Macaca fascicularis: one gene and its partners. The protein of the gene in region 3 interacts with the protein of the main gene of each other region in a biochemical or structural test. Links are inferred from orthologs where the notes say so. Each region holds a gene or a part of one and is shown on either strand. Other genes may lie near its edges.

The links.
Region 1: the proteins of PRKACA (region 3) and CREB1 form a complex in vitro, tested with the Homo sapiens proteins (2 studies listed by BioGRID, with this or other methods). The link is inferred for Macaca fascicularis from reciprocal best matches to the Homo sapiens genes PRKACA and CREB1.
Region 2: the proteins of PRKACA (region 3) and BAD form a complex in vitro, tested with the Homo sapiens proteins (2 studies listed by BioGRID, with this or other methods). The link is inferred for Macaca fascicularis from reciprocal best matches to the Homo sapiens genes PRKACA and BAD.

The regions. Positions count from the first base shown.
Region 1 is NC_088386.1:103,472,949-103,482,628, forward strand, and holds the start of CREB1 (cyclic AMP-responsive element-binding protein 1), read left to right. Parts: upstream 1-3,799; 5' UTR 3,800-3,986; intron 3,987-9,680.
Region 2 is NC_088388.1:10,105,794-10,115,744, forward strand, and holds the start of BAD (bcl2-associated agonist of cell death), read left to right. Parts: upstream 1-4,215; 5' UTR 4,216-4,574; exon of another isoform or gene 4,575-4,837; intron 4,838-4,942; exon of another isoform or gene 4,943-5,048; intron 5,049-5,272; 5' UTR 5,273-5,280; coding exon 5,281-5,467; intron 5,468-9,951. Other genes in the region: integral membrane protein GPR137, read right to left, coding at 239-506, 925-1,043, 1,178-1,306, 1,432-1,581, 1,701-1,926, 2,633-2,682, 2,766-3,122. UniProt on the Homo sapiens protein: Promotes cell death. Successfully competes for the binding to Bcl-X(L), Bcl-2 and Bcl-W, thereby affecting the level of heterodimerization of these proteins with BAX. Can reverse the death repressor activity of Bcl-X(L), but not that of Bcl-2.
Region 3 is NC_088393.1:14,523,350-14,532,532, forward strand, and holds part of PRKACA (cAMP-dependent protein kinase catalytic subunit alpha), read right to left. Parts: intron 3,591-9,183; coding exon 3,529-3,590; intron 3,070-3,528; coding exon 2,941-3,069; intron 1-2,940.

The DNA of each region.
Region 1 (9,680 bases), on a different chromosome or scaffold from region 3:
AGGTAGATGAATTCAATTTTTTTTTTTTTTCTGAGACGGAGTCTCACTCTGTCGCCCAAGCTGGAGTGCAGTGGCCGGATCTCAGCTCACTGCAAGCTCTGCCTCCCGGGTTTACGCCATTCTCCTGCCTCAGCCTCCCGAGTAGCTGGAACTACAGGCGCCCGCCACCACGCCCAGCTAGTTTTTTTTGTATTTTTTTAGTAGAGATGGGGTTTCACCATGTTAGCCAGGATGGTCTCAATCTCCTGACCTTGTGATCCGCCCGTCTCAGCCTTCCAAAGTGCTGGGATTACAGGCTTGAGCCACCGCACCTGGCCGACGAACCCAATTTTGAAAACGTATTTGACACAAGGATGATATCCAAATAAAAGCTAGTAATAGGCAACATTTTTCCTAACATTGTTCCAAGTACAAACATTGTTCCAAGTATACTTCACAGGTATTATGTCATGTAATCATTACAATAACACCATGAGGTAAGTGCTATTATCATCTTTGTTTTACAAATGGGAAAACTGAGGCACAAGAGTGAACAATTTGCCCAAAGTCATTAGCTAATAAGTGGCTGAGCCAGTGCAATGAATTCACCCCCACCCCCATCTCCTGCAAATTCATATTTTGAAATCTTCACCCTCAATGTGATGGTATTAGGAGATGAGGCCTTTGGGAGGTAAACCCCGTGCGAATGGGATTAGTGCCTTATAAAAGGAACCCAAGAGCTCTTGCTCTCTTTCTGCACTGTGAGATAAAGAGAAAAAACAGCCATTTACAACCCTCAAGAGGGCCTTCACCAGAACCTGACCATGTTGGCAGCCTGATTTCAGACATCCGGCCTCCAGAGCTATGAGAAATAAATTTCTGTTGTTTATAAGCCACCAAGTCTACATGGTACTTTATTACGGAAACCTGAACTCACTGACAGCCAGGATTTGAACTCAAATGTTGAGAAACTTTGCCCGGGACCACTCAGAAATTCACTATTTATTCGATAAATATTTAACAAGTACCACTATATTCTAGACATTGTGTTGTTGCTAGGGAGAGGAAAAGCTGGTAGTGAACAAGAGAGATGTGGTCCCTACCTGCACAATTACATGGACACTAACCAAATAATGAGAAGTAGGAATTGGAAAAGAAAGTGATAAATTACAGTTAGGTAGGAGGAATGGGTGAGAGAAAAGAATTCCAGGGGAAGGGAAGGGCATGCGTAAATACCCTGAAGTGAGAGCCTACAGTAGGGCATAAAAAGAGGAGAGCCTGGAAAAAATTAAAATACTATGCAAGGAGTGCAGGTAGCTAAGGGGACAGATGGAAAGGCTGGAGAGAAAGACAAGATAATGGAGCTTAGACAATGTGTGGTAAGCAAAGGGAGGCCACTGGAGGAATTTAAGCAGGTCAATGATCAGATTTATATTTAAAAAATTACTCTGGCAGCAGTTTGGCAAATGTATTGGAATGAGGGAAGAGCAGTTTTCGAGGACCTGAATGGGTTATTGTGGGACTTCAAGCAAGAGACCACAGTGGTTTAGACTAAAATGGGAATGAAAAAATGGTCATGGGAACAGAGAGGTCACAAATCCAATTTTCCAGGAAACAGACAGATGTAGGTGATTCTGCTGTGTGTTGGAGGTGTGTTAGGTTTCTTGCATGAACTGAGTAGATGTTAAGATACCCTTTACTGAACCAGGGACTATGGGAGGAGCATTTCGAAGGAATTATGATACACAGGCTGAGTTTGAAATGCCCTAAGTCATCCAAATGAAAAGTGTACCAAAGGCAGTATGTTGGAACTATGAATATAGGGTTCCAGAGCAAGACCTAGGCTTGGGTTATGGATTGAAGAGTCTTTGACAGAAGGTATTTGATGCTACTGGGAGAGCATAAGACCACCTAGGAAAGTGTATGGGGAGACTCAGTAAGAAGGCCAGGGTTCATTCAGCTCAGCATGATTCCAATGTGTAAGAGGTAGATCAAGAAGGAGAGGCTGGTTGTTAAAGAGAAAACTCAGGTAGAGAGGAAACCTGTGACATAAGACCAGAGGGAAGACGGTATTTGGAAGAGAGTGTGGTCAAACGTGTCAAATACTGGGATGAGGGCTTGTAAAATGAGGACTGAAAACGATCCGCTGCATTTACAGACATGAAGCTTGTCTGTGGACAATTCAGAACCACTTCAGGTGAGCAGTGGGGACACTGGAGAGGGCTGGGAGGTGGGATGTGAGAGACTGTCCAGGGGTAAGAGACAGCTGGAGTTGTTGCAGAGCAATTTAGGGAGAAGAGAAATCTTTTTAAAGAATTGAGAGACTTAAGCATGTTTAAATACTAGTAAGAAAGAGCCAGTAGAGAAGGAAACGTTGAGAGTAACAGAAGGAAAGGAGACTTGTTAAGGGCAAAGTCTATGAGAAAACAGTAGGGTACCTGGAGTACCAGGAAGGACAGTTCCTTACAAGAGAAGTGAGTAATGGGCGGAGTCCAGATTTGAACACTCTCTACTTCCTAAAGACACGTCTCCTTTAAAGGACAGAAAAATAATGATTAAGACTTGAGGCCAGGCGCGCTGGCTTACGCGTGTAACCATACCACTTTAGGAGGCCAAGGCGGGTGGATCACCTGAGGTCAGGAGTTCCAGACCAGCCTGGCCAACATGATGAAACCCCATCTCTACTAAAAACACAAAAATCAGCCAAGTGTGGTGGCAGGTGCCTGTTATCCCAGCTACTTGGGAGGCTGAGGCAGAAGCTGCAGTGAGCCGAGATCGTGCCACCGCACTCCAGCCTGGGCGACAAGACCTAGACTCCGTCTCAAAAAAAAAAAAAAAAAAAAGACTTGAAACCCCAGGGAGAGGGGCGCAGAGTTCACTATCAGGGAGAATGGGGACCTAGTGGTGTGGTCCTGGGCGACCTCTGAGAGAGCAGTTCAGTAGTTTCCAGCCACGGAAGTCCCCCTGCTGGGTTTAGGGTGCAGTGGGTGCGAATCCCTGCTGTAGAAAACAGGCTGAAGAAAGCAAGCCACACAGGATGTTGTCTGGAGAAGGGCGGGCAGGTGGGATGGGGCATATTTCCAGCGGTCCCGGCAGGTTGTGGCTCGGAGGCCTCCGAGGGCCGTCGACGTCAGCCACGGCCGGGGCAGAGCGACGGCCCGGGCAGAGCCCCGGGAGGTGCCACAGTACCGGGGCCAAAGCCCCTCAGAAAAGCATGCTCCGCCGGCGGCCGCCAGGTTTCTCTGCGGAGTCTCAGAAAGGAAAACCCGTCCCCACGGGGGTCCCACGACGTCCCCGGGTCCCAGGCGCCGGGACGTTGGCAGAGGCGCAGCAGACCTTCCTCCCCAACCCGTACGGCTCCCGCGGTCCCCCGTCTCCCGGCGGCGTCGGAAAGTTCCCGGAGCTCGCGGCGGTCAAGACCAGAGCCGGGGCAGCCGCAGCCGCCTTCTTAGCCCGCCGCTCACCGCCACAGAGGCAGGCCTGCGTGGGGGTTTCCACCAACTTGCCGACACCCCTCAGGAATTCCCCTACTGGGCCACACACAAACCCCGCTTCCTCCTTCAAATTTCCGCCGCCAGCTTTATCGATCCGAACGCCGCGCTGGGGTTTAGACCACTCCTCCCGGCGCCGGGCTCAGCCCGCCTTCGCCTTCCCTCTCCCGGCGGAACCCGTCCGCCTCGCGCGAAGAAACCCGAAGGCCTTCGGCAAGTTCCGTCCCCAGCGCGGGGGCGGGGCCGCTCGAGCTGCTCCGGGCCCAGCTCGGCTGTTTCCGTGCGCGGCCGCTGCGCACTCGGCACTGGGCGGCGCTGGCTGGCTCCCTGGCTGCGGCTCCTCAGTCGGCGGCGGCTGCTGCTGCCTGTGGCCCGGGCGGCTGGGAGAAGCGGAGTGTTGGTGAGTGACGCGGCGGAGGTGTAGTTTGACGCGGTGTGTTACGTGGGGGAGAGAATAAAACTCCAGCGAGATCCGGGCCGTGAACGAAAGCAGTGACGGAGGAGCTTGTACCACCGGTAAGAGGAGCAGGAGGAGGAGGCAGGAGCCAGAGAGAGCCGGGGGGACGGAGGGGGGACGGGGAGGCGCCGGACACCCGCGCTTGGGGCCTTCCCCTCGCAGGAGGGGCCGCGGTAAAGATGGAGCCTCCGCCCGAGCCCCACAACATCGCCGCCGCTCGCAGCGAACAAAGAATAATGGCGGCGGACTGGAGCCAGCGGCGGCCGGGGCGGCAGCGACTCTGCCTGCAGCCAGCGGCGGCGCTCATGGCGGGGGGCGGCGGGCGGCGGGCGGCGGGCGGGGTGGGAGCCGGCGGCCGGGGGTGTGTGCGGGCGGCCGGCCGCGGCGAGCTGGCGCCCGCGTTCCCGCCGCCGCCGCCGGGCCGGGCGCGGAGCCGGGAGCCCGGAGCCGCCCCGGGGGAGGCCGCCCGCTCGGCCCGGCGCTGCCCCCCGCGCCGCTCGCTCGTCCGGCCCCCGCCGCCCGCCTCGCCCCCGGCCCGACCCGGCCTGGCCTCCGGGGCAGCCGCCGCCTAGGTGCCGGTGGGGGGTGGAGGAGGAAGAAGGCGACAGTTGAGGGCAGAGGAGGTGAAGGTGCCTGCTGCCTTCCCAGTGGCCTCGGTGTCTGCCATGCCCGCTTCGCAAGGGGAAGAGCTGCAACGTCTGACCTACTCTTCTCTCCACTCTTTGTGCAATAAAGTTCGAAACCCAAGGTTTCCTCTCGTGCTGTATTTTATTCATGCCCTTTCCCCTCCGCTCCCACACCGTTGAGGAAATGCTGCTTTCTGCCCTGTGCTGCTTAGTTGAGAGATGAGAGCTTGTGTTTTGGGGGGAAATTTTTTACTCCTTCACCCCCTTGCTTTTTTTTTTTTTTTTTTTTTTTTTTAAGTCAGTAGTTATGGAAATGCATGCTTTTTGGGAGAAAGAGGGTGCTAAGAAAAACATAATAACTTTTTAAACTGTTGGGATCTTATAAAAGGGAAGCTGGCGTTTGAAAACAGTTTCGGTTTTAACCCTTTTCAATAAGGTAATCATTACTCGAGGTCTATCATTTTGAAACACTTCGTTGAAACGAATTATCAGCCGATGTACTCTTGTTTTACATCATTTCGCGGGGTGCAACCTTGCCAACCGCGTTTGAGTTATCTGGATCTCCCCTCACCCTGTCCCACTCCCCCTACCATATTTCCCACGAATTTCTTCGTGAACTTTAATGAGAGATTTAATACTTCTTCTAAAAATAGACTTTAAAGTATCCATTATTTCTCTCTCATGCAGTAGGTAACCCCCGTCTTGAGATTGACAATTTAAGCCACAAGCTGTATTTTTTCTTCGCCTGTTGGGAAAAGAGGACAGCAGAAAAATCATTGACACATTAAAAATTAAAAGAATTTTTAAAGGACATGCGGTATGACCTATTTAAGTTTGTAATATCATCCCAAGTTATAATTCTAACCTCAGCTGGCGTCTGCCTTCTGAAGGTTTAGTAGAAGATACTTTTGATTGCTGCCTATTGAAGTATTTTACATTTATGGCTCATTTCCTGATTTAAAAGTAAAGCCCCGAACAGTTATTTTAGGTGGTGCAAAAGACGAACAAGTTTGTTTTAAAAATACTTGTCTGTCACTGTATGATTGCATTGTGATCGACACGTACAAACCTTCTGGTTAGGAACAAATACTGATTGGCACCAGAAGCACTGTCTTATTTTTCTGTATCCTAGTCACTTTTCCAAAATGTGCTTTGTTGTATTGCTTCTCTTTAAAAGACCACATTAGCAATTTGTCATTTACAAGAAACTTAAGAAGATGCGGTAAAGGGAGGTTTTCTATAAAGATTGGGAAAATGATTTTATTTTCAAACACTGAAAAAATTATATTGATAATGGTGAGTTACCGTTTTTCCTTTATGATGTTCTGCAAGCCACTATCAGTTGAGTAGATTTTTGTTTGTTTGTTTGTTTGTTTGTTTGTTAAGAATGTAAGTCGGGTGCGGTGGCTACGGCCTATAATCCCAGCATGTTGTGGGGCTGAGGAGGACAGATCACTTGAGGTCAGGAGTGCAAGACCAGCCTGGCCAACATGATGAAACCCCATCTCTACTAAAAATACAAAAATTAGCTGGGTGTGGTGGTACGCGCCTGTAATCCCAACTACTCGGGAGGCTCGGGTTGCAGTGAATTGAGATTGTGCCACTGCACTCCAGCCTGGGCAGCAGAGCAAGACTCCGTCTCAAAAACAAACAAACAAAAAGAATATACGACTCTTCATGTGTGAGATTTTTAAAAAATTGTTTGCTGATGGCCGAATGCGGTGGCTCACGCCTGTAATCCCAGCACTTTGGGAGGCCGAGGCAGGCAGATCACGAGGTCAAGAGATCGATACCATCCTGGCCAACATGGTGAAACCCCGTCTCTACTGAAAATACAAAAATTAGCTGAGTGTGGTGACGTATGCCTGTAATCCCAGCTACTAGGGTAGCTGAGGAGGCGGAGATTGCAGTGAGCCAAGATTGCCCCACTGCCCTCCAGCCAGGCCACAGCGAGACTCCATCTCAAAAAAAAAAAAAAAATTGTTTACTGATACGTTCTTTCTTCAGTCTTGCCCAAGAGATATTTTAAATTGTATTTTTTATTTTAATTTTTATTTATTTTTTTGAGATGGAGTTTCGCCCTTGTTGCCCAAGCTAGAGTGCAGTGGGGCGGTCTCGGCTCACTGCGAGCTCCGCCTCCCGGGTGCAAGAGATTCTCCGGCCCCAGCCTCCCGAGTAGCTGGGATTACAGGCGCAGGACACCACACCCGGCTAATTTTTGTGTTAGTGGAGACGGGGTTTCACCATGTTGGCCAGACTAGTCTCGAACTCCTGACTTTGTGATCCGCCTGCCTCGGCCTCCCAAAGTGCTGGGATTACAGGTGTGAGCCACCTTGCCCAGCGTATTTTATTATTTATACATTCATAATTTGTGATTCTTAGCAATTCCAGGTGGAACTTCAAACTTTTATATTCATTAATATTGTGAACATTCACCTGGAACATGTGACTAAATTGTACTTCTCCACTGTTCCAGCCATCGGTAAAAATTACAGCTGGATCCACTTGAATCTTTTTTTTTTTTTCCCCATGAACACCTGCATTTAGAAAGCTAATAAATTATTTGACAGAATTTGCTTGAAGAATGTTAAAAGAACACTTCTTTGGGAATTTAAAACTTAAGTGTTACCTGTTTTGAATGAATTTTTCCCCCCCTACATAAAGAGCCTGAAGAAACTTAGAAACCTGATCCATAAAAATGGCACCTTTCTTTTTCTACTTTCTGAAACTCATATGCCTGATTAGGTCTCATTATTAGAAGTTTTGGTTTCTTCATAGAGAAGTAGCTTTATTTCTCTCTCATTCTAAGACATTTGGTTTTGTTGTTTGGGTACAGTAAGGTTATGGGGTTATAGTAAAACCAAGTATGTGTCTTCTTCACCTGTTTTTAAATTTTTTCTCCTTTTTATAACAGTAGGGAAAATTATTTATTTTTAACCTAATGCTTACAGTATATTACCAAAATTTATAATTTCATTTATTCCATAAATAGCTTATCAGATATCAGTTACATAAACTTGTTTACAGCCAGCTTGTGACATAGTTTTGCAAATATCTTGATATATGGTGTAACTTTGATGGCTTCTTTATTGAATAGAGCTCAAATCTAAATTTAAGAGTGTAGTAAGATGTCAAGATAGAAAAATGCAGGAATTTTCTTTTTCTTACCCATATGTGAACTCATCTCTACGGCAGTATCACTTGAGACAACAGTTTATGGTAATTCAAATATTTATTTAGCACTCACTGTGACAGAGAATGTAGTTGAAAGAGCATGAGGTTTGGAATCACAGGCCTACATCTGAATGCAAGCATTGCCACTACTCTCCTGTACCTACTCTAAAGGAATTTTGTGTCCTAAAGGAAGTTTCTTAATCTTTCTCAGCCTCAGTTTCCTTATATGTAAAATTAGAATACTACTACTTATTTCATAAGATTGTGAGATAAACATAAAGTACCTTAGGGCTACAACTAATGATAGCTAGTCCCTTAAGCTTTGTTTTAACTTCCTACCTGTGGGCCCTTAGGCAAGTTATCTTAACTTCTGGATACCTCACTTTCCTTTCTGATCAATGTAGAATAACTACCTCAGAATTGTGGGGATTAACTATAAAGTAATACATACTAAGTTCCAGGCGTTGTACAAGTGTCAAGTGCTCAAGTGTTGACAAGGTTTTTTTCTTTTAATTTTTTTTGAGACAGAGTCTCGCTCTGTTGCCCAGGCTGGTGTGCAGTGACACAATCTCAGCTCATGGCAACCTCTGCTTCCTGGATTCAAGTGATTCTTCTTTCTCAGCCTCCCTAGTAGCTGGAACTACAGGCATGCACCACCACGCCCAGCTAATTTTTGTATTTTTATTAGAGACAGGGTTTCACCGTGTTAGTCAGGCTGGTCTTGAATGCCTAGGATTATAGGTGTGAGCCACCACGCCCAGCCGGCCTGTTACTTTTTAAATTATTTATTATTACTATATGTAATACAGTGGATCAGAAGCTACAACAAATCCAAAGATGAATTACATTGTCTTATCTCTACCCTCAGGAACTGTTGGAGACACAGTGACTAAGACAAATTATGTGTCAAAAGAAAGTAGTCAAAGGAAAAAGGGATCACCTTTGGTGAAGTGAGGAGTATATTTTTTATATTTCCAATTTGGTTTTTTTGAATAAGTAATTCATTCAGATGATCTGTAATTCAAAACATATATAATACAGCAAAATGCCCTACATTCTCTTGCCCTGTTACCTAAGTGTTAGCAATTTTTTATATGTCCTTTAAGAGGTGTTTTATGCAAACACGAGCAAATATGTATGTCCTGTCTCCCCCTTTTTGTACAAATGGTAGCATACGGTGTATACACTCTCCTATATCATGCTTTCCCCCCACCACTCAACATGCCTTAAACTTAGCAATTTTGTATCAGCACATAAAGAGCTTCTTCATTTTTTAACATACAATTTGAGGCATTTTATTATGTAAGTAGACCTTATTAACCAGTTAGTGAGCTGATTTTACTTTTAGGTCTTACATGACCTGTTAAACTAAGGGAAACTGCCATCTTGTCTTTATTTCTTTAAATGAAAAACTTTTTATTTGAATGAAAAATAGTTTGTGACAGGAAATTGTTATTTAAAGGTCCTCATTTCCTGTTTAGCTCCAGTTTTTAAAAGTTTTAGTAAAATGATCAAAATGTACATGAGGAGGCAAGCAAGCCAGGTTAAGAGTTAACTCACGAGGTGAATTTAACTCTTTTGTTGAGGTTCTTACACTTCTAAACAGACTACTTATTTCAATTATTATTTTGGCCAAAAAGGTTTTTGTAGCTTTCTATCTTAATGAGAAAGAACATTCCATATAGTCCAGTGTTTTTTGCGTTTTTTTAACAGACAGCTCATGGGATATTATTACCCAGTAAGGCTGATTACTATATTAGATTTCTCCCTGCATTCATTTATTTTTTACATACTTGTTAACTTACCTTGATTTTCTAGTATTTCTTAATGTGAGTTTTATATTTTGTACCTAAATTTAAAAATAGTGAGATTCACCTATATGATTGCTGAGATGATAAACTTTACTGCATAAATGGTTTTTTCCCCCTGTGTAAACCTTTGGTCAACCAGTTG
Region 2 (9,951 bases), on a different chromosome or scaffold from region 3:
TTGCAAACTGCAGGCCCCTCCTCTCCCAGCCCACCAGCCTTGATGGGGTAAGTGGCCCCTGCCCAGCCTAGCAGCCCACTTCAAGGGCCACTGTTCAGCCTTAGGCCAAACAGGCAAAAGTGACAGGAACACAAGGCAGATGATAGACAGGTGAACAACTGTGGGGCGCAGACACTGTTTATTGAGTGGCAGGCACAGGAGAGGTAGCTGACTCCGGTGTGGAAGCGGAGGTGGCAGGTCATGCCAGGGTGCTGTGGGCATCTGGCAGCCAGGGCCACGCCCCCATCCTAGGGGGACGGCACAAGCTCACTATGACAGGAGCAGCAAGGAGCTGGCCAGAGGAGGGGGCAGCCACGACCCCCAGGATCCTGGGCAAGAAGTGGCAAACTTGGCACAGGGGCTTAGGGTGACGGGGACTGGGGCCTGGGTATTCTGTGGGGGAGGGAAGGGGATCACGTCTGTGGGGTGGAGTAGAGACTGTGGTGGTGGCCACCTGGTCCTGGCACCTGGGAGAAGAGCAGAGGAGTGGTCTTCGTCTGGCTGCCCCCATACCAGCCCGGCTCACGCCCGATGGCGCCATACCAGCTCCCAGAGCCTAGACTGCCTGACATACTGCAGCAGAGAAACAGGGTCAGTCTCAGGACAGTGACCAGGGCCACAGTCACAAGAGCTGCAGGAGGAACAGAGGCTTAGAACAGAACCCCTGTGACCTAGACCTTCGGGGCCCAGGGCAAAGTACATCTCTAGGCAAGGGATGGAGGCTTTAGCCATAGGAACCCAGGGGACCTCACCTAGTACAGATGGGGAAGCAAAGGCCATGGCAGGGGTGGAAGGGCAAGACCCGGCTCTCTCAGTCCCCCATAGCTCGATGGAGCCAAGTGGGTGGTGGGGGCAGGGGTACTGAGGCAGTGCCATGGCTCCTACCTGGTGCTCTCACCCCGGCTGTGCTCCCAGGAGCAGCCCTCATCTTCACAGTGCCCAGCCCGGTCAAAGAAGTAGGACCGGGAGGCAAAGACCTGCCCATTGAGGATGTGGCTGGTGCTCTGGAGAAGGAAGCCATCATCGATACTTACTCCTGTCCCACACTGTTCTCCCTGCCCATCCCCAGATGCCAACCCAGGATTCCCAGCATCTGCCCCTCTCCACTGGGCCCACAGGGGAGGGTGCAGACCCTTACCAGGTCCTGTGGGGGCCGGTGTACCCGGAAGAAGCCCACCAGCAGGGTGGTGGGCAGCAGCTCCCACACGAAGAGGATGAGGCCAAATACCAGGTAGCCTTTGTTCCCCAGGTCATTTACCAGGTCCGCCTGTGGGAAGGCAGGGGCTGGTGCCAGTCTGCAGTCACGCCAAGGGGGCAGTGGGACAGGGCCCAGGCCAGCTGGGGCCAAGGTGCCACGGCTACTAAGGAGGTGGCAGACATGCGTATGCCCACCTGATCAGACACATTGTACCAGTCGTAATCGAAGGTGTCCAGTCGGCTCTGGGGGGCCAAGGCCAGTGCTGTCAGGTTGTAGCAGGCCCGGCTGGCATAGAGCAGGACCATGGCTCCACCCATCGCGGCCGCCTGGCACACACTGGTCCCCTGGCACAGGTAACAACAGAGGACCCTCAGGGAGAGAAGGCTCCCAGCTTCCTCTACACCCTGAGAACCGCTGCCCAGAGATCCCAAAGGACACCTGGGCATCAGTGCTGCGGCCCTACCTTGGCCTCCAGGTAGATGCTAGTGGAGGGGGCCCGCCTGGCGACGAGGCAGAGGCAGGCAGCAAGAGACAGCGCACAGATGACGAACAGGGAGTCGCTCACCAGGACGCGGACAAGCAGCAGGGCCCAGGGCTGTGCCCGGCGCCGATGGGAGAGCACAGCACACAGCACGTTCACCAGCAGAAAGAGCAGCGAGGCCCCCACAAAGGCCCCTCGGACAGCCAGCCTGCAGCCACAGCACAGTCAGCCCGGGCCCTCAACAGCCCTCAGCACTCACCACCTGCCCCACCTCCTGCAGGAAACCCCAGTGTCCACAGAACTCAGGGCATCCAGTCTGAGCCCTGTTCCTCCATTCTTATAGATGGAGAAACTGAGGCTCAAAGAGGTCAGAAGGTGACTGACAGCCATGGTACCTCGGAAGGGGCACCAACTGGAGTCAGAAGTCTCCGTCTGAGCCCCAGCTCTGCGACCTTGATCCTGATGCCTTACCTGGCTGGGCCTCAGTTTCTTCATCTCTCAAGGGAGGAGAGTAGCCTCTCAGGGAAATTGTACAAATGAAAGATGGCTGGGAAAGCTCTTTATAAACCGTAAGACACTGTACAAATGACGAGGGCATTGCGGCCCCAGGTCACCCAGGAGTGCATATGGCTTTGGTGCTTCCATGGACTGGAGCCTCCAGCTCACCCTCCATGGTGGATGCCACTGGGTTCCTCTCCCTCACACTACCACAACCATTCCTATTCTTGTGCCTTGCAGATCTGCAACGCCTCTGCTGAGCCATCTGCGCCAGGTGCTTTAACTTTTCCAAGCTCTTCCACAGACATTCCCTGGGTTGTCTTTGTCTCAGCCCTGAGAGGTGGGAAGGGATCTACATGGGACTGTCCCCTGCCCCTGACCTGGAGGTTGAGCCCACCAGTGTCCCGAGTACTTACAAGCCTCGGCTCATCTCCGGCCGACGCTTCGCCTTGGCCTTGAACACCACCTAGGAGCAGAGATGCCCTTCACTCCCGTGGGTCCTTAAGGCTTGCCACCTCCCACCCCCCACCCGGGACCACAGTTGGTTACCTGGGCAAAGTAGAGGTTCATAAGCGTCAAGGTGAAGAACTGCAGGCAGACGGGGCAGCAGTAGAGAAGCCAGAAGGGCAAGGGCCCCAGGCGGTTGGCGCGGGGAGTATCTCGGAAGTAGAAGGAGAAGAGAGTGGTACGCAAGGCAGCCCAGAGCAGACAGAGGGCCAGGAACACCGTCTGATAGCTGAGACGCTTGTGCCCATACAGAAGCACCAGCCAGAGCTGGGCATAGACGGAGAAGAAGAGCAGGGCATACAGGGTGGTGTAGGCAGCCGTCAGCCCCAGGGTCACAGCAGGTGGCAGCGCAGGCACCAGCCCGGCAGCAGGCACCAGGCCAGACAGGTTACTCTCCATGTCAGGGAGGGAGGCCTGAATCCCGGAGACAGAGAAGGAGGGGCTGTCGGCAGGGCCAGGGTAATAAATACGGAGGGGTGGGAATTGCAGGGTGCAGAGAGGGAGATGGGGCGCTGAGGAGGAAAGAAGTTGTGGCTGACAGGCCCCTCCTCCTCAACAGAGAGACCCTTGCCCTTGGGGAACACGGGCAGCCTGGGCCCCAGGCCCCTCACTCAGGGGCATGGAAGGGCAGTCTCTTCTCTCCAGGGCAGACCGGGTGGGGGTTGGGGGTGTCTCCTCCCTGGGCCTACCCCAGAGTCAGGGATGGGGGGATGCAGAGGCCCAAGGAGCGGAGTCCCTGGCCTCGGTCGCTCGTGTCGTCCTGGCTGGAGGGGGAGAGCCAGCCGATGCCCGTCGGGTCAGGGCAGCGGCCGCTGCAGGGGGCGCCCAATGCCCCGCTCTCCCCCTCCCCAAGCTGGGGGAGGCTCTCCTCCAGTAATGCGGATGGGGAGGGCCTCTGCCTTCTGTCCTTGTAATTCTCGAAAGCTGCCCCCCGCCCAACCCCCCCCCACCGCGTCCACTCTCCAGCCTCAAGGGGCGGGAGGAGGCGGATGCCAGGTCCTCAGGCCGCTGATGGGAGAGCCGGCTCAGGTCGTGGGGACCCGGGGCTCCGGCTCCCCGGCTCCCGCTGCTCCGCCCCCTCCTGCGCCTGCGCGGGCGCTGTTCGCTACGCAAATTGCGCAGGGGCCCGACCGGCTCCGCAGTCCAGCGCCGCACCCGGCGTGAAACCGTACGAGAATTGGCGCGAGCTGCGCCGCTGGCGGGCGCCCGGGGTTACGGGAGGCGGCTGGAGGGCGGCCGAATTGCGGGGGCCGTGCCGCATCCAGGGGGTCCCCGGGTGGGCTGTGCCTGGGCGGTCCGCCTTAACTTGTATGGGGGGCCGCCAATTCCCACGCTCCTCTCTCCTATACCCAAATCGGGGTCGTGCCACCCAGCCGGGGGCGGCAACGGATTCCCGTCCCTCGGCCTCTGAAGAAAACTTCCGCCCATAGCCAAGATGGCCCCCGGGCCCCGCCCCCGGGCCTGAACCCGCGGAGCCCCGAATCCCCAGCGCGGGCCCGCCCCCCGCCCCGGCGCGCCCGCGGCCCTGCTCACCTGGCCGGCCGCCTGCCAGGCCTGAAGCCCCCACGGATCCTACGGTCCACCCTCACCGGGTCCCCGGCCCTCCTCCCGCGCCCGGGCAGCCATCCCAGCCAGGGAGGAGGTTCCTCTCCTTATCTCCAGTGCCCCCGAGGTGGCGCGGGAGGTGTCCCCCGAGGCGGGCGGCGCGAAGCTTCCACGCCTGGGAGGAGGAGCGGGGAGCGGGACTTTCCGACCGGGCACCCAGTCCAGGCGGAGCGGTAACAATAGCAACAATAATCGCATCCGACGGCTGAGCTTCAGTTGTGGCTGTGCCAAGCGCCTTCGCCCGCAGTAATCACTCCCTTCACAAAGTTTTCACTGGCTCCTGGGGGAGCTGTCACTATCCCCACTTCACTGGGGGGAAACTAAGGTCCAGAGGGGCTGAAGGACTTGTTGGCAGAAGTGGGTCTCCAGGTTCCAAATGGGGACCCCAGAGAATCCCTCTCCTGCTCCCACACACGTCCAAGGTGTGAGGCAGCGAGGATATGAGCACCAGGGCTGCAGGAGGGAGAAAAAAGGCTGCGGGCGAGTAGCCGTAGGTCCGGCGGGGAGGCGGGGCCGGGCCGGGTTGACCCCGCCTCTGGACCTACCCGAGTGACGTTCCGAGAGGTGATTGGGCCAGGTCGCTGACAGTTCCCGTTGCCCAAGCAACTAGGGCCGGGAGCCCGGGGTGCAGGAGGGAGGCGGCAGGCCCGGGTCAGGGGCCTCGAGATCGGGCTTGGGGTGAGACCTGTGCGCCGTCACCACGGGCGGGGCGGGGCCTGGGTAGGGGCCTGGGTCCACCAGGGTTCTAAGGGGAGATTGAGGCCCTGAGCCGACAGCATCAGCTCCCTGCCAGGCCAGACCCAGCAGACAAATGAGGGCCCGGGAGGCCTGGCGGGCCTGGGGGCCCTAGGGTGGGAGAGGGAGCCAAGGGTACCTGCCTCTGCCTTCCAGGGCCACCGTTGGCCCCAGCTGTGCCTTGACTACCTAACATCTTGTCCTCATAGCCCAGAGCATGTTCCAGATCCCAGAGTTTGAGCCTAGTGAGCAGGAAGACTCCAGCTCTGCAGAGAGGGGCCTGGGCCCCAGCCCCGCGGGGAACAGGCCCTCAGACTCCGGCAAGCATCATCGCCAGGCCCCAGGCCTCCTGTGGGACGCCAGTCACCAGCAGGAGCAGCCAACCAGCAGCAGCCATCATGGAGGTAAGTACCCCACCACCTCCACCTGCCGGGTCACCTCACCCCCAGCCCACTGGCTCCCTGCATCCCAGTTGTATCCACGGGCACTGAAGGCTTTGGGTCGGTCCCTAACCTCTCAGAGCCCCAGTTTCCTCTTTTGTAAAACAGAGCAATTAATAACCACCATTGTAGGACTGTTGAGTTAATTAGCAGGAACATATAGGATGCACTTGATTACAGAGCTGGTGCACATTAAAGCTAAAAAATGGTAGCTGCCAGGCATGACGGATCACACCTGTAATCCCAGCACTTTGGGAGGCCAACGCAGGAGGATCGCTTGAGCCCAGAAGTTCAAAGCCAGCCTGGGTGACTTAGGGAGACTCCATCTCTTAAAATATGTATATATATATATGGCAGCTCTCAGTGTGGGGCCAGGACAGAAATTAGTGACAGGCAGGCAGGCAGTGATCCGAAAAGGAAAAGGGGCCTACCTAAGGCCATACCTGCCTGGCATTTCTTTCCTTAGAAGGTGGGGGCTGGAAGACTCCTTGGTGCCCTGCCCCAGGCTACATGCTTTCCCTGGGATTGGGCCTTCCAGCTCCCAGATGTGTTCTTTCTTGCCCCGAGGCTTGCGCCCACAGCAGGCCTGTCCTGGCACAAAGGCCAGGGGCAGGTGACCTCAAGGGGCAGACGGTCCTCCCAGACAGCAGGGCTGTGTGGGGTGGGAAGCACAGGCTCCAAGATGGAAGGATAGACACTGGGGTTCAGTGTCCATTTCTCAGTAGGCTCCACCACCCCTGTGCCCAGCACTGGCCTTGGCACCTGGAACAACAACATATATCTTCTGAACACAAAAACCAGGTCAAGCCAGGTGGGGTGGCCCATGTCTGTAGTCCCAGCAGCTCAGGAGGCTGGCTTGAGCCCAGGAATTCAAGACCAACCTGGGCAACATAGCCAGACCCCATCTCTAAAAATAGAAAACTAGGTCATGTCACTCTGGCACTGAAGCTTAAACGACCTCCTTCCCATTTTCAGGATTAAGAAGGCTTAAGAGGCCTCCTTCCCCTCCCTCTCTTACGCACAAACACACACACTCAGTTCTCTCAGATTGGATCCCATAGCTTGCTTTCTTTTTTTGTTGTTGTTGTTTTGTTTGTTTTGAGACAGGGTCTCGCTCTATCACCTAGGAGGGAGTACAGAGGTGTGGAGTACAGAGGTGTGACCTCAGCTCACTGCAGCCTAGAACTTCTGGGCTTAAGCGATCCTCCCACCTTACCCTCCCAAGTAACTGGGAATACAGGTGTGTGGACTACACCTAGTTAATTTATTTTTAACTTTTTCTTTTTTTTTTTTTTTTCTGAGACAGAGTCTCACTCTGCCACCCAGGCTGGAGTGCAGTGGTGCAATCTCAGCTCACTGCAACCTCCGCCTCCTGGGTTCCAGCAATTCTCCTGCCTCAGTCTTTCAGGTAGCTGGGACTACAGGCATGTGTCACCATGCCCGGCTAATTTTTTGTATTTTTAGTAGACATAGGGTTTCACCATGTTAGCCAGGGTGGTCTCTATCTCCTGACCTTGTGATCCGCCCGCCTCGGCCTCCCAAGGTGTTGGAATTACAGGCGTGAGCCACCACGCCCGACATTTTTCATGTTTTCATTAGAGACGAGGGCAGGGGCGGGTCTCCTTTTGTTGCCCAGGCAGGTCTCAAACTCCTGGGCTCAAACAATCCTCCTGCCTCAGCCTCCAGAACAGCTGGGACCACAGGTACATGCTGCCACACCAGCTCATTTTTTATTTTTTGTAGAGGTGGGGTCTTGCTTTGTTGCCCAGCCTGGTCTCGAATTCCTGGGCCCAAGAGATCCTCTCATCTTGGCCTCCCAGAGTGTTGGGATTACTGGCGTGAGCCACCATGCTCGGCCTCCACAGCTTTCTTTAACTTTCTGAGCTTGCACTTGGCTGTTTTTCTGCTCACAAACTCCCCCTGCTTTCTGCCCCCCGCCACACACACTCAGCATTGACTTGTGTCTCAGAGTGAGTGTTCACCATGTGACACAGGTTGTTCCAGTTGCTAGGGGGACCTCGGTGAACCCAAGCATCAGGAATCCTTGCCCTCGTGGAGCTTACATTCTAGTGACGTGGTGGGTCCATAAGCAAACAAGCACAAAAGTGCATCCTATCATGGATGAGAAGATTTGTATGGGGGCAGCATGTAAGAGTTAAGAGAAGCTGGGCGCGGAGGCTTACACCTGTAATTTCAACACTTTGGGAGGCTGAGGCGAGCGGATCACAAGGTCAAGACATGGAGACCAGCCTGGCCAACATGGTGAAACCCCATCTCTACTAAAAATACAAAAATTAGCCAAGCATGGTGGCATGCACCTATAGTCCCAGCTACTCAGGAGGCTGAGGCAGGAGAATCACTTGAACCCGGGAGGCGGAGGTTGCAGTGAGCCAAGATCACACCACTGCACTCCAGCCTGGCAACAGAGTGAGACTCCGTCTCAAAAAAAAAAAAAAAAAAAGAGTTAAGAGAATCCAGAGTCACGGGGCTGGGGGAGTGATGGTAGCAGAGGTGGTCAACACTCACTTGGTGAGAAGCACCACTGGAACCAAGGCCACAGGGATGATGGGAAGAGAGTTCCAGGCAGAGGGAAGGGCAGGTGCTAAGGCCCTGAGGGCAACACCTGCTCCCAGCTAGGGTGGGCCTAGAGGAGGGGGTTAGGAAAGGGTCTTTGGAGACCTAAAGGTGGAGGTCATTGTAAGGACTCTGACTTTGCCTTTGGGTGAAAACCTGGAAAGGCTTTGAACAGAGGCAGCATGGTCAGATTTAGACATTCAGAGAGTCACCAGGGAGGTGGTGAGAAGTAGCTGGCCTCTGGATTTATTTATTTATTTATTTATTTTTTTTTTTTGAGATGGAGTCTCGCTCTGCCGCCCAGGCTGGAGTGCAGTGGCCGGATCTCAGCTCACTGCAAGCTCCGCCTCCCGGGTTCACGCCATTCTCTTGCCTCAGCCTCCCCAGTAGCTGGGACTACAGGCGCCCGCCACCTCGCCCGGCTAGTTTTTTGTATTTTTTTTTTTTTAGTAGAGACGGGGTTTCACCGTGTCAGCCAGGATGGTCTCGATCTTCTGACCTCGTGATCCGCCCGCCTCGGCCTCCCAAAGTGCTGGGATTACAGGCTTGAGCCACCGCGCCCGGCCTATTTATTTATTTATTTATTTATTTTTATTTTTTTGTTGAGACAGAGTCTCGCTTTGTCGCCCAGACTGGAGTGCAGTGGCCGCATCTCAGCTCACTGCAAGCTCCGCCTCCCGGGTTCACGCCATTCTCCTGCCTCAGCCTCCCTAGTAGCTGGGACTACAGACGCCCGCCACCTCGCCCGGCTAGGTTTTTTTGTATTTTTTAGTAGAGACGGGGTTTCACCGTGTTAGCCAGGATGGTCTCAATCTCCTGACCTTGTGATCCGCCCGTCTTGGCCTCCCAAAGTGCTGGGATTACAGGCTTGAGCCACCGCGCCCGGCCCTGGATTTATTTTTAAAGCAGAACTGGCAGGATCTGCTGATGGACTGGATGTGGGGTGCGAGGGAAAGAGAGGAACCAGGATGATGCCAAGGAATTTTAAAAAAATTATTAGGCTGGGAGCGGTGGCTCACACCTGTAATCCAAGCACTTTGGGAGGCCCAGGCGGGCGGATCACGAGGTCAGGAGATCGAGACCATTCTGGCTAACATGGTGAAACCCTGTCTCTACTAAAAATACAAAAAAAAAATTAGCCGGGCGTGGTGGTGGGCGCCTATAGTCCCAGTTACTTGGGAGCCTGAGGCAGGAGAATGGCGGGAACCCGGGAGGCGGAGTTTGCAGTGAGCCGAGATCACACCACTGCCCTCCAGCCTGAGACAGAGCGAGACTGTCTCAAAAAAAAAAAATTATTGTTGGCTGGGCGCGGTGGCTCATGCCTGTAATCCCAGCACGTCGGGAGGCCGAGGCGGGCAGATCACTTGAGTTCAGGAGTTCAAGAGAGCCTGGCCAACTTGGTGAAACCCTGCCTCTACTACAAAAACACAAATTAGCCAGATGTGGTGGTGGACAACTGTAATCCCAGCTACCTGGAAGGCTGAGGCAGGAGAATCACTTGAACCCAGGAGGTGGAGGTTGCAGTGAGCTGAAATTGTGCCACTGCACTCCAGCCTGGGTGACAGAGCAAGATTCCATCTCAAAAAACAAAAAATAAATAAAAATAAAATAAATTATTATTAATTTTAGAGATAAGGTCTTGCTATGTTGGCCAGGCTGGTCTTGAACTCCTGGCCCCAAGTGATCTTGGCCTCCCAAAGTGCTGGGATTACAGGCATGAGCCACAGAGCCCAGCCAACACCAAGGAATCTGGCTTGAGCATCCAGTAAGATGAAGTTGCTTTTAATAGAGAAGAAACACTGAAGGGTGGGGAAGGATCTGGAAGCCACCCTAGAGGGTGGGCTAGAGGTGGCTTTTTTTTTTTTTTTTTTTTT
Region 3 (9,183 bases):
GCTCACGCCTGTAATCCCAGCACTTTGGGAGGCCCAGGCAGGTGAATCACCAGAGCCCAGGAGTTTGAGACTAGCCTGGGCAATGTAGCGAGACCCCATCTCTACAAACAACAACAACAACAACAACAACGACAACAACAACAACAACAAAAAGCAATTAGCTGGGCATGGCACGACTATGGTCCCAGCAGCTTCAGAGGCTGAGGTGGGAGGATCATTTGAGCCCAACTGCACTTCAGCCTGGGCAAGAGAGCAAGACCCTGTCTCAAAAACAAAACAACCAGCCTGGCCAAAATGGTGAAACTCTGTCTCTACTACAAATATTAAAAAATTAGCTGGGCGTGGTGGCGGATGCCTGTAATTCCAGCTACTCAGAAAGCTAAGGCATCGCTTGAACCCGGGAGGCGGAAGTTGTCGTGAGCTGAGATCACACCATTGTACTCCAGCCTGGGCAACAAGAGTGAAACTCCATCTCAAAAACAAAACAAAACAAAACAAAAATTAAACACTTGATGTAGGTACTGGTGACTTTCAGGCATAGTTGGAACAACTTGGGCATGTGAATCTGCTTTTTCTTTTTTCTTTTTTTTTTTGAGATGGAGTCTCGCTCTGTCGCCCAGGCTGGAGTGCAGTGGCGCGATCTCGGCTCACTGCAAACTCCACCACCTGGGTTCACGCCATTCTCCTGCCTTAGCCTCCCGAGTAGCTGGGACTACAGGCGCCCGCCACCACGCCCGGCTACCTTTTTTGTATTTTTAGTAGAGATGGGGTTTCACTGTGTTAGCCAGGATGGTCTCGATCTCCTGACCGCGTGATCTGCCTGCCTCGGCCTCCCAAAGTGCTGGGATTACAGGTGTAAACCACCGCGCCAGGCCTGAATTAGCTTTTTCAACTTCCCTCCTTTTTCTCCTCTTTCCAGGAAAAATTTACCCTCAGAGTTGAGACCTGTTGTAAGCATCCAATGGACACTGGATTTTAAAGACACTTCAGTACAGAAAAAAAGGAAATATTTCCGAAGTCATGAAGGACTGGGAAAAAAACAAAAGGAATGTAAAATGTTTCATTAATGATATTTTCACATTGATAATATATGGAAACGGTAATACTGTAGATATACTGGCTTAATTAAAACATATCATTAGGCTGGGCGCGGTGGCTCACATCTGTAATCTCAGCACTTTGGGAGGCCGAGGCAGGCAGACCACCTGAGGTCAGGAGTTTGAGACCAACCTGACCAACATGGTGAAACCCCGTCTCTACTAAAAATACAAAAATTAGCCAGGCGTGGTGGCGGCGTCTGCAATCTCAGCTACTTGGGAAGCTGAGGCAGGAGAATCACTTGAACCTGGGAGGTGGAGATTGCAGTGAGCTGAGATCACACCACTGGGCGACAAGAGTGAGACTCTGTCTCAAGAAAAAAAAAAAAACAAAAGCCCCAAACATGTCATTAAAATGAATTTCATGAATGTCATCTGCTTCTTTCACTTTCTTTTTTAATTACAATTTTTTTTTTAAATTTTTATTTATTTATTTTTTTGAGACGGAGTCTCGCTCTGTCGCCCAGGCTGAAGTGCAGTGGCCGGATCTCAGCTCACTGCAAGCTCCGCCTCCTGGGTTCACACCATTCTCCTGTCTCAGCCTCCCGAGTAGCTGGGACTACAGGCGCCCGCCACCTTGCCTGGCTAGTTTTTTTTTTTTGTATTTTTTAGTAGAGATGGGGTTTCACCGTGTTAGCCAGGATGGTCTCGATCTCCTGACCTCGTGTCCACCCGTCTCGGCCTCCCAAAGTGCTGGGATTACAGGCTTGAGCCACCGTGCCCAGCCACAATTTTTTTTTTTTGAGAGATGAGGTCTGGCTGTGTTGTCCAGGCTGGAGTTGAACTCCTAGGTCCAAGTGATCCTCCTGCCTCAGCCTCTCTGGTAGCTAGGACTATAGGCATGCGCCACCATGCTTGGCTCTTTTTACTGTTTATGATGGAGCAAAGAGAAAATTTAAAATCGATTCTGTGGCTTGGGTTACATTTCTGTTGGTTACATTGCTGCTTTATAGCAGTGCCCGGTATAAAGTTGGATCACAAAAATATTTACGGGAAGAAAGTCCACGTAAACACCGCTTTCCCCAAGAATGCTCCTGGCCTCCTCCCTTTGGACTGGTGTCTGACCCTGTGTCACAGTGCCCGGCTTTGAATGCATGGCCGGCCTGGAGAGGGAGCTTTGGGAAGGCAGCACAGGGCCCTTTCGACCCTTGGAGCTGGCACATTATGGGGGCTCGGGGAATAGTGGGTGAGCCTGGCGTGGAAGCTCATGTCCGTAATCCCTGCGCTTTGGGAGCCTGAAGTAGATCACTTGAGGCCAGGAGTTCAAGACCAGCCTGGGCAACACAGCAAGAGACCCCCTGCCTTAAAAAAAAAAAAAAAAAAAAAATTAGCCAGGCATGGTAGTGTGTGCTTGTAGTCCCAGCTACTCGGGAGGAGCTCAGGAGTTTGAGGCTACAGTGAGCTATGATCACGTCACTGCACTCCTGCTTGGGCAACAGAGCAGGATCCTGTCTCCCCGCAAAAAAGCAAGTGGCCAGGCGTGGTGGCTCACACCTATAATCCCAGCACTTTGGGAGGCTGAGGCAGGTGTATCACCTGAGGTCAGGAATTCGAGACCATCCTGGCCAACATGGTGAAAACTCATCTCTACTAAAATTACAAAAATTAGCTGGGTGTGGTGGCGGGTGCCTGTAATCCCAGCTACTCAGGATGCTGAGGCAGGAGAATCGCTTGAACCAGGGAGGTGGGGGTTGCAGTGAGCCGAGGTCGCGCCACTATACTCCAGCCTGAGCAACAAAGCAAGACTCTGACTGGAAAAAGCAAAGCAAGTGAGTGAACGGGTGGATAGGGCACTCCAAGGAGTGGGCACAGTCCAGGCAAAGGCGAGGACGGGCCACCTCACCTTCTGTTTGTCGAGGATCTTCATGGCATAGTGGTTCCCGGTCTCCTTGTGTTTCACCAGCATCACCCGCCCGAAGGAGCCCGTGCCGAGGGTCTTGATTCGTTCAAACTGATCCAAGTGGGCTGTGTTCTGTGGGCAGAGGGGTCGGCAGGCTCAGGGTGCATCCTCCCCGCGGCCTGCTGGGCTAAGGTCTGAGGCATCCCCTCTGCCACCGGCAGAGGGGGCCCCGGGGAGCACGTAGGGTCAGCGGGGTTGAGGACGGGGGCGGAAAATCAAGATGGCAGAGGGTGCATTCCTTAAGGCGGGTGGCAGGGGCCAGATCCGGCCCTGGCCTGGGGCCTGGGAGCTGCTGGCAGCTGTGCTAGGGGCAGGGGCGGGCTGTTGGAAGGGGTGGTGGGATGGGGGTGCCTGGCATTGGGCAGTCAGGTGTCTCCACACAGGAGCCCTCATGGGTACCTAGGGAGTGAATGGGGAGGATCTGAAGCCTTCCACGGGGTTTCTGAAATTCTAGCTGTGTTGCTGGGACGCAGCTGGGGGCTGGGGGTCACCAGCTCACCCCTCCCCGGACTCTGTACCCGGTGGCCTTACCTGAGCGGGACTTTCCCATTTTTTAAGAAAATCTTCTTTGGCTTTGGCTAAGAATTCTTTCACTGAAAGGGAGACAGGGGAGGGTTAGACAGAGACCTCCATTTCACCGGGGCGGGTTCAGGTGATTTCTGGGGAGATACTTGGTAGAAATTGGGGTGCAGTTCCCTCAACCTAGAGCCTGACCTTTTTATGGTGCCTCTGGGGGCCCTGGCCGGGCCGTGGCCTGGGCCTCCCTTGCTACAGAGAGGTGGGATCCAGCTGCTACTCCATCCAAAGTGGGGTACAGAGAGTCTCAGGGGTCACCCCCAGGGGAACGGAGGGAGGCACCCAGGCAGGCCAGCCCACCCCCACTCGCCCCAGTTCTGACCGACATTCCACGGCCAGGGCCGACGCCAGCCGAGGTATTTATAGCCTTGGGATTTGGCTGTTCCTCTGGCCCCTTCTCTGGGGAGGCTGGGCCTGGGATGGAGGCCTCGGGGGCTCGGGTAGCAGGCGCCCTTGGGGGGCTCAGCTGTCACCTTGGCCCCCAGCTGGCCCTGTTCCTCTCGTGTCGATCGCAAGGGCATTGCTCCAGAGCTGGTTCAAGGGAAGTCTCGCCCGATGCCCACTCCTCGGCCCCACGGCATCCCAAGGCGAACATCACCGCCTGGCTAACGTTGAAACTTCCCCGGCAGACCCTGTGCCGGCTGCTGTCTACACTGTCTCATCTGACTCGCTCGGCAACCTGCCTTGTATCCATTGTGTCCGTTTAACAACCCAGAAAACAGGCTTGAAAACAGTCATTCTTATCTCTGCTGAGACGCAGCCCAGCAAAGTGGCTAAGGGCCAGGACTTGGGGACAAGATCCAGTTCAGAGCCCAGCCTGGTCTCCGATGAACTCTGTGACTTTGGGCAACTGATCTCACCTCTCAAGGCCTCAGTTTTCCTCATCTGTAAAGTGGGGTGGTTTTTTGGGGGTTTTTTTTTTTTGAGACGGAGTCTCGCTCTGTCGCCCAGGCTGGAGTGCAGTGGCGCGATCTGGGCTCACTGCAAGCTCCGCCTCCTGGGTTCCTGCCATTCTCCTGCCTCAGCCTCCCAAGTAGCTGAGACTACAGGTGCCCGCCACCTCAACCGGCTAGTTTATTTTTTTGTATTTTTTTAAGTAGAGATGGGGTTTCACCGTGTTAGCCAGGATGGTCTCAATCTCCTGACCTCATGATCCGCCCGTCTCGGCCTCCCAAAGTGCTGGGATTACAGGCTTGAGCCACCGCACCCGGCCTGTGGGGTGGTTTTAAGGAATGAATGAGTTCATCTTGGCAAAGGGAGTTGAACAGTGGCCCATGTGATGTTAGCGCCAGATAAATGTCAGCTACTATTATTTTTTATTTATTTTTAAAATTATTATTATTATTATTATTATTATTATTATTGAGATGGAGTCCCACTCTATTGCCAGGCTGGAGTGCGGTGGCACGATCTCAGATCACTGCAACCTCCACCTCCCAGGTTCAGATGATTCTCCTGCCTCAGCCTCCTGAGTAGCTGGGATTACAGGCACCTGCTACCACGCCCAGCTAATTTTGGTATTTTTCGTAGAGACGGGTTTCACCATGTTGGCCAGGCTGGTCTTGAACTCCTGACCTCAGGTGACCTGCCTGCCTTGGCCTCCCAAAGTGCTGGGATTACAGGCATGAGTCACTGCACCCAGCCTATTATTTTTTAAATTGAGGTATAAAATATGAGGAGAAGGCCGAGGTGGGCGGATCACGAGGTCAGGAGATCGAGACCATCCTGGCTAACACGATGAAATCCCATCTCTACTAAAAATATTAGCCAGGTGTGGTGGCGGATGCCTGTAGTCCCAGCTACTCGGGAGGCTGAGGCAGGAGAATGGCGTGAACCCAGGAGGCGGAGCTTGCAGTGAACCGAGATCGCACCACTGCACTCCAGCCTGGGAGACAGAGCTAGACTCTGTCTCAAGAAAAAAAAGAAAAAAAAAAAAAAACATATGGGGAGAGAGGCTGGGTGCAGTGGCTGACGTCTATAATTCCAGCACTCTGGGAGGCTGAGGTGGGCGGATCATGAGGTCAGGAGTTCGAGACCAGCCTGGCCAACATGGCGAAACCCCATCTCTACTAAAAATAAAAAAATTAGGCCGGGCACGGTGGCTCACGCCTGTAATCCCAGAACTTTGGGAGGCCGAGGCGGGTGGATCACTTGAGGTCAGGAGTTCAAGACCAGCCTGGCCAACATGGTGAAACCCTGTTTCTACTAAAAGTACAAAAAAATTAGCCAAGCATGGTGGCTGCAGAATCGCTTAGACCCGGGAGGCAGAGGTTGCAGTGAGCTGAGATCATGCCATTGCACTGCAGCCTAGGCAAGACTAGAGCGAGACTCTGTCTCCAAAACAAAACAAAACAAAACAAAAAAATTAGCCGGGCATAGTGGTGTGTGCCTATAATCCTAGCTACTTGGGAGGCTGAGGCAGGAGAATTGCTTGAACCTGGGAGGCAGAGGTTACAGTGAGCCGAGATCATACCACTGCACTCCAGCCTGGGTGACAGAGCAAGACTCTGTCTAAGAAAAAAAAAAAAGAAAAGAAAAAATAAAATAAAATATGGGGAGAGACTGGCCATGGTGGCTCACGTCTATAATCCCAGCGCTTTGGGAGGCTGAGGTGGGCAGATCACTTGAGGTCAGGAGTTTGAAACCAGCCTGGCCAACATGGTGAAATCCTGTCTTTACTAAAAATACAAAACTTAGCTGGGCACGGTGGTGCATGCCTGTAATCCCAGCTATTTGGGAGGCTGGGGCAGGAAAATCTCTTGAACCTGGGAGGCAGAGGTTACAGTGAGCCGAGATCGCACCAGTGCACTCCAGCCTAGGCGACAGAGTGAGACTCTGTCTCAAAAAACAAAACAAAACAAAAAAAACAGGGAGAGCTGGGAATGGTGGCTCACACTTGTAATCCCAGTGCTTTGGAAGGCCGAGGTTGGAGGATTGCTTGAGGCCTGGAATTAGAGACCAGCCTGGCCAACATAGCAAGACCTCATCTCTACAAAAAGTAAAACAATTAAAAAATTAGCTGAGCATAGTAGCAGTCCATGCCCGCAGTTCCAGCTACGCAGGAGGCTGAGGCAGGAGGATCTCTTAAAACCCAGGAGATTGAGGTTGCAGTGAGCTGTGATCGCACCACTACACTCCAGCCTGAGCAAGAGTGAGACTCTGTCTCAAAAAAATAATAATACTCTGGGAGGCCGAGTTGGGAGGATTGCTTGAATTCAGGAGTTCAAGACCAGCCTGGACAACATCAAAACCCTCTACAGAAGGCCGGGCGCGGTGGCTCAAGCCTGTAATCCCAGCACTTTGGGAGGCCGAGACGGGCGGATCACAAGGTCAGGAGATCGAGACCATCCTGGCTAACCTGGTGAAACCCCGTCTCTACTAAAAAATACAAAAAACTAGCCGGGCGAGGTGGCGGGCGCCTGTAGTCCCAGCTACTCGGGAGGCTGAGGCAGGAGAATGGCGTAAACCCGGGAGGCGGAGCTTGCAGTGAGCCGAGATCTGGCCACTGCGCTCCAGCCTGGGCGACAGAGCAAGACTCTGTCTCAAAAAAAAAAAAAAAAAAAACCCTCTACAGAAAATAATAACATTAGCCAGGTGTGGTGTTGTGCACCTGTAGTCCCAGCTACTCAGGAGGCGGAGGTGGGAGGATTGTTCAAGCCTGGGAGGTAGAGGCTGCAGTGAGCCATGATTGAACCATTGCACTCCAGGCTGGGTGACAGAGTGAGGCCCTGTCTCAAAACAAGAAAAGTAATCATAAAAAAACCTCAAAAACAAATATAGGGGCATTGAGGGTTCAAATTTTTTTTTTTTTTGAGATGGAGTCTCGCTCTGTCTCCCAGGCTGGAGTGCAGTGGTGCGATCTCTGCTCACTGCAAGCTCCGTCGCCTCCCAGGTTCACGCCATTCTCCTGCCTCAGCCTCCCGAGAAGCTGGGACTACAGGCGCCCGCCACCATGCCCGACTAATTTTTTTTGTATTTTTAGTAGAGACGGGGTTTCACCGTGTTCACCAGGATGGTCACGATCTCCTGACCTCGTGATCTGCCCACCTCGGCCTCCCAAAGTGCTGGGATTACAGGCGTGAGCCACCGCGCCCGGTCGAACGCTCAAACCTTAAATGCACAGCTTGACAGATTCTTGCATTACGGACTTGTCCTTTAACCACCACCTAGGGCTACAAGACACCAGCCCCTCACTGAGTGTTTTCTATGCTTCGTTCTCACCCTCTGGGGTGGGAGCTGCTGTTATTCCCACTGTACAGATGAGAAGACTGATCAGGTCTGAGGTCACTGACCCGCCCCCACTTCCCATGAGATTAACTACTTCACTGCCGACTCAGCCATTGGTTTCAGCGCTGAGTCCAGGGCACCAGGGTGGCCAGTGTGGACAGAGCTGCCTTCAACCCCCTGATGTTCCTGAGTTTGCTACCACCCTGAGGGGCCCTGTACACTTGCCCTTTGGCATTGCTGGTTGTCTGCCTGCCAGGAATTCCACATGGCCTTTAGGGGGAGCCACCCCCCCTACCTGTCCCCAAAGCTCTCCCTCAGCATTCAGAGAGAAGAGCCCTCATGGGGCTAGAAAGTGGTAGATGGTGGCTGGGTGCGGTGGCTCACGCCTGTAATCCCAGCACTTTGGGAGGCCGAGACAGGCAGATCACCTGAGGTCGAGAGTTTGAGACCAGCTCGACCAACATGGAGAAATCTTGTCTCTACTAAAAATACAAAATTAGCTGGGTGTGGTGGCACATGCCTGTAATCCCAGCTGCTCGGGAGGCTGAGGCAGGAGAATTGCTTGAACTTGGGAGGCAGAGGTTGCGGTGAGCCGGGATCGCGCCATTGCACTCCAGCCTGGACAACAAGAGCGAAACTCTGTCTCAAAAAAAAAAAAAAAAGAAAAAAGAAAGTGCTAGATGGGGGATAGAGAGAGACCGTGGCCAAGAAGGCCCCAAAAAGAATGACCCCGCCAAGAGGGGACAGGCAATGAGTGGCCAGGAGTCCTAGATGGGTGCCTGGCTGGGCCACCAACTAGCGCAGGGGCCTGAGCCTGGGGGCTGCACCAAATCCAACGCTTTCACTAGCAGAACCTTTGTTTGTGTGTTTTGTTTTGTTTTGAGATGGGGTCTTGCTATGTTGCCCAGGCTGGTCTCTAACTTCTGGCCTCAATGGATTCCTCCACCTTAGCCTCCCAAAGTGCTGGGATTACAGGCGTGAGCCACTGTGCCTGGCTTCACTGCTAGAACCTTTGTGACCAAAAACATCTTCCTTGGAAACCTCCAAATAATCCACACAGAACTCAGCAGTGGATGGGGAGGGTGGAGGGTGCCCTCTTGGGATTCTACCTTCACCCACACAAGAAGGCAGAGAGGTGCCGGGCTTCAAGGGAATCCGAAAGGTCTGGTCGGTTTTCCCTTTGCTCTTAGCAAAAGGGAAAGAATTGCTGAATCCTGCACCTCCCTGACTCGCTGAGCTCCCAGGCTCTGGCTGTCCGCTGGTGCCCCATGGAGCAGTTCCACAGGGTGCCCTGCTGTTAGCATGGCCCTTCTCTGGCCTCTCAAAGGACCAGAGAGCCCAGGCTCTGGTGCCACTAGCCTTGTGAGCTTGTCAGATTTGGGG